Linked DNA regions of Macaca fascicularis. The protein of the gene in region 3 purifies or fractionates together with the protein of the main gene of each other region. This does not show direct contact. Links are inferred from orthologs where the notes say so. Each region holds a gene or a part of one and is shown on either strand. Other genes may lie near its edges. The genes, in order: WASL, DLG5 and SORBS3.

The links.
Region 1: the proteins of SORBS3 (region 3) and WASL purify together in Homo sapiens (co-immunoprecipitation; 3 studies listed by BioGRID and IntAct, with this or other methods). This does not show direct contact. The link is inferred for Macaca fascicularis from reciprocal best matches to the Homo sapiens genes SORBS3 and WASL.
Region 2: the proteins of SORBS3 (region 3) and DLG5 purify together in Homo sapiens (co-immunoprecipitation; 3 studies listed by BioGRID and IntAct, with this or other methods). This does not show direct contact. The link is inferred for Macaca fascicularis from reciprocal best matches to the Homo sapiens genes SORBS3 and DLG5.

Annotation. Positions count from the first base shown.
Region 1 is NC_088377.1:165,352,674-165,356,318, forward strand, and holds part of WASL (actin nucleation-promoting factor WASL), read right to left. Parts: intron 1,728-3,645; coding exon 1,593-1,727; intron 1-1,592. UniProt on the Homo sapiens protein: Regulates actin polymerization by stimulating the actin-nucleating activity of the Arp2/3 complex. Involved in various processes, such as mitosis and cytokinesis, via its role in the regulation of actin polymerization.
Region 2 is NC_088383.1:68,536,091-68,540,535, reverse strand, and holds the start of DLG5 (disks large homolog 5), read right to left. Parts: upstream 2,937-4,445; 5' UTR 2,814-2,936; coding exon 2,510-2,813; intron 1-2,509. Other genes in the region: uncharacterized protein, read left to right, coding at 2,937-3,677. UniProt on the Homo sapiens protein: Acts as a regulator of the Hippo signaling pathway.
Region 3 is NC_088382.1:25,659,832-25,663,476, forward strand, and holds part of SORBS3 (vinexin), read left to right. Parts: intron 1-80; exon of another isoform or gene 81-100; coding exon 101-215; exon of another isoform or gene 216-266; intron 267-2,171; coding exon 2,172-2,297; intron 2,298-3,645. UniProt on the Homo sapiens protein: Vinexin alpha isoform promotes up-regulation of actin stress fiber formation. Vinexin beta isoform plays a role in cell spreading and enhances the activation of JNK/SAPK in response to EGF stimulation by using its third SH3 domain.

The DNA.
Region 1 (3,645 bases), on a different chromosome or scaffold from region 3:
TCCAGAATCACTGCCATAGTAAGCCACTGCTAGTGACAGAAGCATGTCATATCTCTCAGCTGTCTTGGAAGCAGACTTTAAGAAGCACTAATTTAGCCTGGGACTGGTGGCTCAGGCCTGTAATCCCAGCACTTTGGGAGCCTGAGGCAGGAGGATCACTTGAGTCCAGGAGTTTGAAACCAGCCTGGGGCAAAACAGCAGAACCCATCTCTACAAAAAAATACAAAAATTAGCCAGGTGTGGTGGCATGTGCCTGTAGTCACAGCTACTCAGGAGGCTGAGGTGGGAAGATTGCTTGAGCCAAGGAGATCAAGGTTGCAGTAAGCTGTGCACTCCAGGCTGGTGACAGAGCAAGAGCAAGACCCTGTCTCAAAACAACAACAACAAAAGATGCACCAATTTACCAAATACCATAACTAAGATCTCATTTAAACTCAGTGAAATACTTCAAAACAGACCAAGATGGTTATCTGATTTTACAAATAAAGCTGAGACCAGGGGTGTAAAAATCTCTTGACTGTTATCTATCAGGTCATATTAGTGCCCAGTAGTTTAGAGGTAGTTTTAGTATTTTGTAATTAAAATCTCATTGCACTTATTGTCACATATAAATATTAACCATAGAGGCTTACTTACAGAAAGGTTTTTTAAAAATAATGGAGACTTCATCTTAGCAAAATGATGTTTTTATGACAACTGTAAGAAATGAATATCTAACAAAGGGTATCCAATCTATAGCAATGTGATTTATGATTGGGAGTGAGGGACATAAAGCTATGAAAATCTGAATATAGTCTATCATGAGAAACAACATAAGGAAAAATGAGTAGCAAACAGATTTTTATAGATATTGAAATGTTTTAAACCTGGGCTAAATAATAGTACATACTGAGCTAAAATATTATTTTGTTGTTCCCTGAATAGACTATGTATGCTAATCTATAATGAACAAGATAGAATAAAAGAGTATCATTAAAAAAATACAGAGTGTAGAGAAAGCCCAAGAACCAATAGGCATAATTAAAAAAAAAAAAAAAAGGCTTAATGCATGGTAGCAGTAGAAAGATAAAATAGGAAACTATTCACATTCTGGCTTCAGACATGTTCCCATTTGGTCATGATTTCCATATGTCAATATCTAAAAACCAAGCTTCGCTCTTCTAGTATCAGTTTATGTACAAATTTAAATATCACATGTAGGATAATCAAATCTAAACTGAATTGTAATTGATATAGAAAACCTAGCCGGGCGCGGTGCCTCACGCCTGTAATCTCAGCACTTTGGGAGGCCGAGACGGGCGGATCACAAGGTCAGGAGATCGAGACCATCCTGGCTAACATGGTGAAACCCCGTCTCTACTAAAAATACAAAAAATTAGCCAGGTGTGGTGGTGTGTGCCTGTAGTCCCAGCTACTCGGAGGCTGAGGCAGGAGAATGGTGTGAACCCAGGAGGCGGAGCTTGCAGTGAGCCGAGATGGTGCCACTGCACTCCAGCCTGAGCGACAAAGCGAGACTCCATCTCAAAAAAAAAAAAAAAAAAAAAAAGAAAACCTAATCACCTAGTTTAAAGTGAAAGCAAATCAAAGCTCACCTTAATGTCAAATATTCTTAAAAAATAAGATCTCTGTGGATTGTCCTTAACAAGACAAGCAACACCACTGCACTTCTTTGACCACATACAGTTCCGATCTGCTGCATATAACTGCACCACTGCTGAAGACATAGTCTGCAAAATATAAAATTTATAACCATTAGGTTCAAAATAGTATGTAGATAAAATAGTATGTAGATGATCACAGCCCCTGCTGACAGCTTGACTGCAGCCACCCAGCTAAGCAGCTCCTAAATTCCTGATTCACAGAAACAAGGAGATAATAAACATGTATTGTTATTTTAAGCCACTAGTTTTTGAAGTGATTTCTTATGTAGCAATAAAGAACTAATATAACACTCACATAACAATTACTGAAAACATTTACTGATGCTTAAAATGTGTTAGAAAATGTGTTAATCACTTTTAAATATAGCCTCATTTAATTTTTATTACTATGATAACCTCATTTTATACTTCAGAAACCCGACACTAAAGAGGGTAATTTGCCCAATACCACACAGCTAAATGGCAGAGCTGAAATTCCAAATCCAGGCAATTTGCGACTTCAAACCTAGCATTCTTATTCCCCCTATTATACAGTTTCCCAATAAAGTGAACATTTAGGCAATGAAGTAGTAGTAACGGCTAACTTCTATAAAGCAGTTAAGCACTTATCTAGATAAGGACTGAGTCAAACGTGAAAGCAGTATTACCACCCTGGAAGGCAGATTATAATATCTTCTTTCTAAAGTGAGTTTAAGATTTTAAGTGATTTGCAGAAGGGGCCACATAGTTTTAATGCTATACTGAGGATACGAAAAAGATCTGAAAGACTACTGTCTCAATTTTACCAAGGATAGTCCCTAAATAGAACCCTTTCAGATGTATAAAAGGGAAGCCAACTGGTTACATGCAATGGACACTTTAGGGCATTAGGATTTCCCAGTACACCATGTTGCCACCTTCCGTCTCAAGACTGTATCATGAAAAGGTATAAACTAATTTTATCCTAAGTTAAGTTTTATAACTAGAATGTAACTATTCAACCTTCAGTTACTATGAAAGTGATACATATATATACTGATAAAGCACTTACAAATCCTCTGAAAGCTGTAATTATGTTTTCTGATCCAGTAATTTCACTTCTAAACTAAAAATTAAGAAAATCATTTAGAATATACTTTGCATTTTAATGTAAATATAAAAATAAAGTATTTCACATAAATATGTATTCTTTTTAAAGAGGAAGAACTGAAATAACCTAAAATAGGAGCTGATTAAGTAATTATGGTATCTTAGTTCAATGGAATTGGGCTCTGTAATAAAAAATAGACTACATTAAGATTTGGAGATACGCTGTTTAAGGTTTACTTAACTATGCCTGAGGGGTGCCGCCCTCTTTTGGTAAGAGGAATTCTAAAGAACAATTGTATGCACAAACCTTTTATAACTGGATACTAAAGTCAGAAATGTAAGATCAGTATACTGTGAGGATCAAAAGTCCATAAAGACTTGCTCATATAACAATGTTCAATGTTATGTTTATTATTATTATTATTATTATAATTATACTTTAAGTTCTAGGGTACATGTGCATAACGTGCAGGTTTGTTACATATGTATATTTGTGCCATGATGGTGTGCTGCACCCATCAACTCGTCAGCACCCATCAACTCGTCATTTACATCAGGTATAACTCCCAATGCAATCCCTCCCCCTTCCCCTCAATGTTATGTTTTTAACATTACAGACCAAACTCAACCTTGAACTTCACACACAATACTGAGCAGGACACAAAGGAACAGAAAAATTTCTACAAGAGTCATTAAAAATTACGATAACTTAAAAACAAAAAATGTGTATACTGGGACACTGGGTTTCAAAGAGAAGACTGAAGAATGTGGGACATTTTTTGGCCTGCTCAAAACACACTTGTGTTTGCAAGTGTACAATCTCAGGATGACAGCGTCATAGGCATCCTGCTGCCAGCACTGAAAACTTCAGAAAAATGGGTCTTGCATACACTATCTAAAGGTATCAAATACCAGG
Region 2 (4,445 bases), on a different chromosome or scaffold from region 3:
TGCCACTGCACTCCAGCCTGGGTGACACAGTGAGACCCTGTCTCAAAAAAAAAAAAAAAAAGCCCCCAACACGCCACTGTTTGCTGACACACCATGTCACCCTCTCCGCCAGGGGCTTCAGGTGGCATCTTGCCATACCAAATGCTGTACTAACTTTTTTCTTTCTTTTTCTTGAGACGGAGTCTTGCTCTGTCACCCAGGCTGGAATGCAGTGGCACCATGTCGGCTCACTGCAACCTCCACTTCCCAGAGTCAAGTGATTCTCCTGCTTCAGCCTCCCAAGTAGCTGGGACTACAGGCGCCCGCCACCACGCCCAGCTAATTTTTGTATTTTTAGTACAAATGGGGTTTCACCATGTTGGCCAGGCTGGTCTCGAACTCCTGGCCTTAAGTGATCTGCCTGCCTCAGCCTCCCAAAGTGCTGGGATTACAGGCATGAGCCACCACATCCAGCCAACTTTTTTTTAATGTATTAAATAAAATGAACTTAACTTCTCCTTGAAAATTATTTTTCTAAGGATTTCATGACCCTCTCCAAAGTCACAGAACTCTGCATTGTGGTAAAACTGGGGTCTGAAATCAATGCCTGAGGGGATAAAATCCAAACCCTAATCTCTGCCTTCCTTAGAGGTCACAACTAGCTCCTGGAACTTCAGCCCCATGAGGCCCCACATTCTCCACCAGGCACGGAAAGGATGAGACCTAATTAATGGCAATTGATCCATCAATCAATCTATTCTCAGAGATTAAGGTGAGCATTGATTCACATGCTTCCAAACGCAGACTTCTAGCCTGTACTCTTAACTTCTGTGCTTCCTAGGAAAGACTTCCAGAAACAGATCTTAACTTCTTCCTTCAGAGATAGATTAGATACACAGATACAATTAAAAACAAATATTACTTTGTTGGGATCCCCTCTGTCCTTGTCCTCATGGCCACATCTGACAGTCCCTTCCTAGCATCTCCCAAAGCACTATCCCAGGAAAGGATTAGGTTTGCCCAGCAACTCTGACATGACCACAACTGGGGGGAAAGAATGCAGGTTTGACGGACAGAGATGCAAGTCAGAAGCTCAAAGTGGAGACAGGAGGACCACCAATGAAATGACCTGCTGTGTGGCCAGCAGTTTAGTCTCTCTGCCAGTTTCCTGCAGCTATAAAAAGTGAGGTTAAGATGGCCAATATAAGAGAGCTGTTACCAGGAACGGCTTATAAAATCATTCCCTTAATAAGTGGAGCTTTTAACAGTCAAATAAACGGGTCCCATCAGCCTTTGACCTTCAAGTTGCTAAGGGCAATTTCTCAGCCCTCTCGGTTCACTTGTTTTTCTTTTATACATATATCTTTATTTATTTTTACTGTACCTATCGATTCACTGTTAAAACAAGGACAAGACCTAGAAAGATGGCACTTTGTTTCCTGGCTCTGAACAAGTTCAAACAATAGGTTATAATTCAAAATTCCTGGTCCCCAATACTTTCTGGGCATTTTAACCACTCCAAGTCAGAGTCTTCTCTCTGGCAAAGAATAACAGAAAGCTCACATAGTGGCAACGACAATTGAACGTGACAAGGCAGAGTGCCTGCCACAATAATAGATGCCCAATAAATGCTTGTTCTCTTCCTCCCTCAGTGCCATGTCTTCTTCCTCCAGCTGCCTTGTCTGAAAGGCTGGCTCCACACTCCGCGACCAGACCAGGACAAGCCTACCACTTGTCAGAAACTCCCGCCAGTATCCGTTCTTGCCCCGAAACACACACTTACAAATCAGTCATCCCCAAGACCAAGGACACAGGGGTTCCAAAAGGCACCCCCAAGGGAACCAGTCACCAGCCTTCCTCCTTAAGCAGCTCGGTGCTCTCAGGGAGGGAACTTAGCCCCAACAGCCACTACTAGGATTTTCCCATGGTGCAATGCAACTTCCCCAACTTTTCAGGGCCCACAGTTTCCAAAGAAACCCAGGCAGGCATTGTGCACAATCAGCCACAAGTCCGGGCGAGACTGGGCTCTGAGCAGAGAAAAGGGAGCTGGGACAGCCAGAAAATGAAAAGGCAGCGGTGGCCCCGGCACAGGATGGCAGGCACCAAAATTTAAGAGTATGGGTCCTGGCCCAGGTCCCATTCTTTTAGACGTTATCCTTGGTTAAAGGCTAGCACAGGGTCCCAGAAGACTAGCGGGTGGTTAGGAGCCTCACAAAAGGGACTGATGAACATCCTTCGAGGTACCCCCTACCCGCTACTGGACCTGGTGGCCCCCGGGGACCCTGCCGCCGAGGCACCTGAGGGTGAAGGCCTTCAGCTGGGGGCATTGTTCACAGCGAACGGCGGGACTTGGGGAGGCGGCGGGACTTTGGGGTCCGCGCACCGCCGCCTCCCCAGCTGGGCTAGAGGAACGAGTCCACCAAGGCCATCGCCAGGTGGAGCGGCGGCCCCGGCGAGGTCCCCCTCCGCCAGCAGGAGGGAGAAGCGGAGGGCGCGTCCCAGAGGCGGGGGTCGAGGGTCTGCCACTCACCCGCTCCTTCCGCGGGCTGCGGCGGCCCGACGACGCCGTTCAGGTAGAGAATGGGCAGCAGGTGAGGCTGCGTCTTCTCCAGCGCCGCCCGCAGGTCCTGGAAGTGGTCCCGCTCCTTGGCCAGGAGCAGCTTGAGCAGCAGCTCCGCCTTGGCGCCTCCCGCCTCCTCGTCCAGCTGCCGCCGCTCGCCGGGACTGAGCGCTCCCGCGGCCTCGAGCAGCCCGAGCACGGCTTCCACCTCCGTCATGGCCTGGGCCAGGCTCTGCTGACACTGGGCGAGCAGCTCCCGGCGCTGGGGCTCCATGGTGGCGGGCTGCGCCGCCCCGCCCCGCCGGACGCCTCCCGGGCCCCCCGAGGCCGGCGGGCGGGCGGGCGAGCGCCTCGGCAGCAGCCCTAGCGCGCCGGGAGCCGCGAGGCGGCGGGAGCCATGGGCTGGGGCCGGGGCCTGGGCGGGCTGGGGGCCCGGGGCGGCGGGCGGCGCTCAGCAGCGGCCGCCTCCCGGGCTCCGGAGCGCAGCCATGTTGGCTGCCGCGGCGGCGGGACTGGAAGAGGAGGAGGAGGAGACGCAGGAGGAGAAGGAGGAGGCGGAGGTGGGGACGGCGGCCGGGGCGCGCCCCGAGGCCGGGCTCCAGCCGGGCATGCTCCCCCTCCCCCTCAGCCTCCGCGCGCGCCGCCCGCCCCGCGAGAAAACTCGCCCCGAAAGCCGGGCCGCGCGCCGCCCCCGGAGCGAGACTACAACTCCCGGGAGAAAGTCGCCTGGGCAGTGTTCCCCGGGCCCCCGACGGCTCCGACCCGGCTCGGAGGCTGCCTCGGCCCCCGTGCACCCCGGCCCGGTTCACCGGGGCCCCGCAGCCGCCGTCCGCTCCGCCATAGCCCCAGCCCCGCCGCCGCCGGCCGGTCCCTCCTCTCTCCCCTCCCCAGGCCGTCCCTCCGGGAGGTGGCAGCAGCGGAGGAGGGGACGGGCGGAGGGGGGGACGGGCGGAGGGGAGGGGTCCCCGCCCCCGGCCCGCCCGCTAGGCGGGGACGCGGCGCCGGCTGGTTCCCGGTCCCCCGAGGCCCAGGCGCAGCCGGAGGTGGGGGACGCGGAGTCAGGCCGGGCACGCGGCCAGCCCACAAGCTGCTGGAGACCCCCTCATACAAATCTTGCCCCCAATCCAGTGGGTCCTAAACTGAGAACTCCAAATTAAAGCCTGGAGACGAATGGTGGGGAAGGTTTCCCCTAAATTTGGACATCTCCAGATTACCACCTCCGCCGAATCCATGAGGCTTTTCCTCTCCAAGGAGCACCTAAGTGGAGAATTTCCCAATAAAATCGCCTCAACTGCGGTAAATAGGCTGTTCCCCGCGCCAGCATTTGAGAAGAGCTGCTCCCAAAGTCTAAAGGAGTTGGGATGTTGGCAGGAGGGTGTGTCGCTGGATGAGGAAGAGAAAGGTGGGCATCTGCGGTGCAGTCCTTGGTCTTTCTGGCAAGTGGGGCGCTCTCCCCCTAAATGTCTCAGAGGGAGACAAATCAGCGGACTACCTTGCTTCCTTTGATGACCTGGAAAGGGCCTGCAGTCCCCCTTAAAGCCCAAGAATGTCTCCTCTTCCACGACAGCCCAGCCGTTTGTGGACACATACTGCTTACCTCCCTGACTGCAGGACAAGGTCCTTCAAAGCTAGAACCCTGACTGCGCTCAGTGACCCCGCAGTGCTCCTCTGTCCATTTCAAACATCTGCGATGGAATGAGTGGATCTCGCTGGGGGTTGGGGCCACTTTGTCTACCCACACTGCCAGTCCCAGCCACATGCCTCCCCTCTTCCCTGAAAAAGCAACGTCTTCTTAGTCTGCTTCTTCAAGGGGAGAAGTCGTTTTTATTTATGGAAACGAACTCATTATATGGTAGAAAGAACAAGAGTATCAGAATTTGCACTTTGGATTTGGACTCCCCTCTGA
Region 3 (3,645 bases):
GGCATCCCTAATTGGTGAGAGGAATAAGGTGTACTGGGGAGGGTCTGAGGGGAAGGAGGCTTGGGAGGGCCTCAGCTTACCATGCGGTCCTCGCCTGCAGGGAGCTGACTCTGCAGAAGGGTGACATTGTCTACATCCACAAGGAGGTGGACAAGAACTGGCTGGAGGGAGAGCACCATGGCCGCCTAGGCATCTTCCCTGCTAATTATGTGGAGGTGAGCAGGAGGGACAAGAGCAAGCAGGGGTTGGGAGAGACTTGGGTTTCCTAAGGCAAAAAACTGTGAGGGGCTGGGCCATGTCTCAGTATTGTCCTTGGCCCCCACAGGGCCTGGCCCAGTGCTCTGCATGACCCCAGGAAATGTTTGCTAAGTGAGGGTGGAGCCCAGCCAAGGGGAGGACCCAGCAGCCAGCTCCTCAACCCTCCGTGTCCCAGACTTTCACCATTCAGATCCATCTTTCTAAAGCTATCTTTGGGAATCACCCTAAAGGCAACTAGCAAGAGTGGGAAGTATGCAACAGTTTATAAATCACATATACACACATAACCTCTTTCAGGTGTATTACTGCCCTGGTTCCTCTCACTTCTCAGAGAGTGATAGTTTATCTCTGTTTTACAGATGGGGATGCCAAGGTTCAGTGACAAGTTATTAGGTAAAAGATCTAGAATCTGAATCCAGGTCTTTTGATTCCAGAGAGAGGTTCTGGGCTTGGCAGATAAAGGGCAATAGGTGACTTTTAAGTTATGTCAAGTTATCCAAATTACTGGCATAAAGATGTTCATTATAGTCTCTTACTATTGTTTTAATGTCAGTAAAATATGTAGTGATGTCTTCTCTTTCTTTCGTTTTGTTTTGTTTTGAGAGATGGAGTCTTGCTCTCGCCCAGGCTGGAGTGCAGTGGCGGGATCTTGGTGCACTGCAACCTCCACCTCCTGGGTTCAAGTGATTCTCCTGCCTCAGCTTCCCAAGTAGCTGGGACTACAGGCGTGCGCCACCACGCCCAGATAATTTTTGTAATTTTTTTTAGTAGAGACGAGATTTCACTATATGTTGGCCAGGCTGGTCTCGAACTCCGGACATCAGGTGTTCCACCCACCTCAGCCTCCCAAAGTGCTGGGATTACAGGCGTGAGCCACCGCGCCTGGCCGATATGTTCTCTTTCATTCCTGATGTTGGCAATTTGTGTCTTCTCTTATTCTGGCTAGAGCTTTATTAATTTACTTGACCTATGGATTTTATTGATGTTTTTCTCTTGTTTTTGTTTTCAATTTCATTGATTTCTGCTTCTTTATTATTTCCTTATTTTTGCTTGCTTTAGGTTTACTTTGTTCTTTTTCTAAGTTTCTTGGGGTGAAAGTTTAGACTATTATTTGAAGCTTATTTTTCCCTAATGTAAGAATGTCAATGCTATACATTTCCCTCAGAATGCTGCTTTAGCTGTGTCTCACACGTTAATTTTTCGTCAACTCTGTTTTCTCATCTCCTTCGCGACTTCCTCTTTGACCCATGAGTTGGGTTGTTGTTTAATTCAGGCTCTTGATTTGATAGATATCATTAGGCCTCCCTTGCCTGCCCAATAATCCACTTGGTCCTGAAATTTCACAAAGTATATACAGTATTTCACTCCACCAGTCATTTCTGTCTGTGTGTGAAATAGTTGATTGGCTGCTTGATTTTTATGGGCAGAGTGAAGCAAAGAGAATATGAGGATTCTGGGCTCCTGCTGGGGTAGATGGGGAGGAGGAACCAAGACACTGGAACCCAGGGACACCCGGTTCTCGGCAGTGAGAAAAGGGTGAATCCTCAGTTTTGGAACAGTTCCCCAAGTTCTCCCTGCTGCTTGGAATGCCTCATTTTCTTCTGTGGTCCAACTTAAACTCTCTAATTGGACTGGCTTCCATCTTTTCTCTTGGTGTTTTTCATTCAGTAATGCCCACTCCACATACCCCTATGGAAAATGTTTCTTCCGGGGAGCCTTCCCAGACTCCTCCCCGTCCTCCAGCTCCCCTTGGCTGTGGCCACCCCTGGCTGCCCTCAGGGCTTATTTCTGGTGTTTATATCTTTCTCTGCCAAGGGGCAGGCCCACCTTCTCTTTGCTGTCTCACAGGAACCCCCAGTCTGTGCTATGTTGATGCCAAGGCCAAATCTTTCTCATGACCTTTCTTCATGCAGGTGCTGCCTGCAGATGAGATCCCCAAGCCCATCAAGCCCCCGACCTACCAGGTGCTGGAGTATGGAGAGGCTGTGGCCCAGTACACCTTCAAGGGGGACCTGGAGGTGGAGCTGTCCTTCCGCAAGGTGGGCCAGGCAGGAGATGGTGGGGTGGGTCGGGGCAGGCGAAGGTGTAGGTAAATATGTGCACTAAAAACACATTTTTTTTTTTCTTTTTGAGACAGAGTTTTGCTCTGTCGCCAGGCTGGAGTGCAGTGGCGCCATCTCGGCTCACTGCAACCTCTGCCTCCCGGGTTCAAGCAGTTCTCCCGCCTCAGCCTCCAGAGTAGCTGGGACTACAGATGCCCGCCACCACGCCCGGCTAATTTTTGTATTTTTAGTAGAGATGGGGTTTCACCGTGTTGGCCAGGATGGTCTCAATCTCTTGACCTCATAATTCACCCACCTTGGCCTCCTAAAGTGTTGGGATTACAGGAGTGAGCCATCGCACCTGGCCTAAAAACACTTTTTTAAAAAAGAGTCTGATGTACCTAGCTTCACCTAGGATTTCAAAATTTTCCCCAGTCTCTTTCATTATGCTTCCTTTAGTGTAGTCTTTTTTATTTTTTTCTGCATTTTTTTGAGACAGAGTCTCACTGTGTTGCCCGGGCTGGCCTTGAACTCCTGGGCTCAGGCGATCCTCCTGCCCCTGCCCCTATCCCAGCCTCCCAAGTAATTTTGGTCCATTTTTAAAAGATCATCATAAACTTCTAGAGTTATATATATTTTCAACTGCAGGTTGCAGTGGATCATACTCAGCATTTTTAAAGGTATAGACAGAAACGTTAGCGTGCGTCGCGGGCAGGAAGAGCACTTTATCCTACTGTAGGCAGTTCTGTGTACGCACATATGTATGTATTCTGGGCTGTTATTAAAATCTTTTTAACTGTGGACTGTGGTGAAACAAGTTTGAAAAATGCTGTTCTAGAAAGCAGAGAAGTGGTCTGCCTTTGGTTGATTTGGGGAGCAGCGACTATGCTTCCAAAATCAGCCAAAGACAGACCATAGTGAATGCTACCCAGAAGAGCTGGCCCCAGGGACAGAGGGGAAAGAAGGTGGCTGGATGGAGAGAGCAGGGGAAGGCAAGGGCTGGAGGCCACCCTCCCAGGGAGTGGTTCTACCTAATGTCAGCCAGCCTATGGCCTTGAGGACTCCCTGCCTGTCCTGGGGAGTGTGTTTTTGACACACTCATGACAGGGTCCCCCAGCGTGAGGCAGGAACAGGACCCAGGTAGGGCAGTAGTGGTAGCACCTGTCCCCTGTGCCTAAGGAGTGGACTGTTGATCTCATTCACACCTCATAGTGACAGTATGGTTATTTTCACTTAACAGAGGAGAAAACAAGGCTCAGAGAGACAGAGCAGCCTGCCTGAGGCCACACAGCTTGACCTGGCGGAGCTGGGTTTGGATCTGCATTATTAGCCACGGGCTCACCTG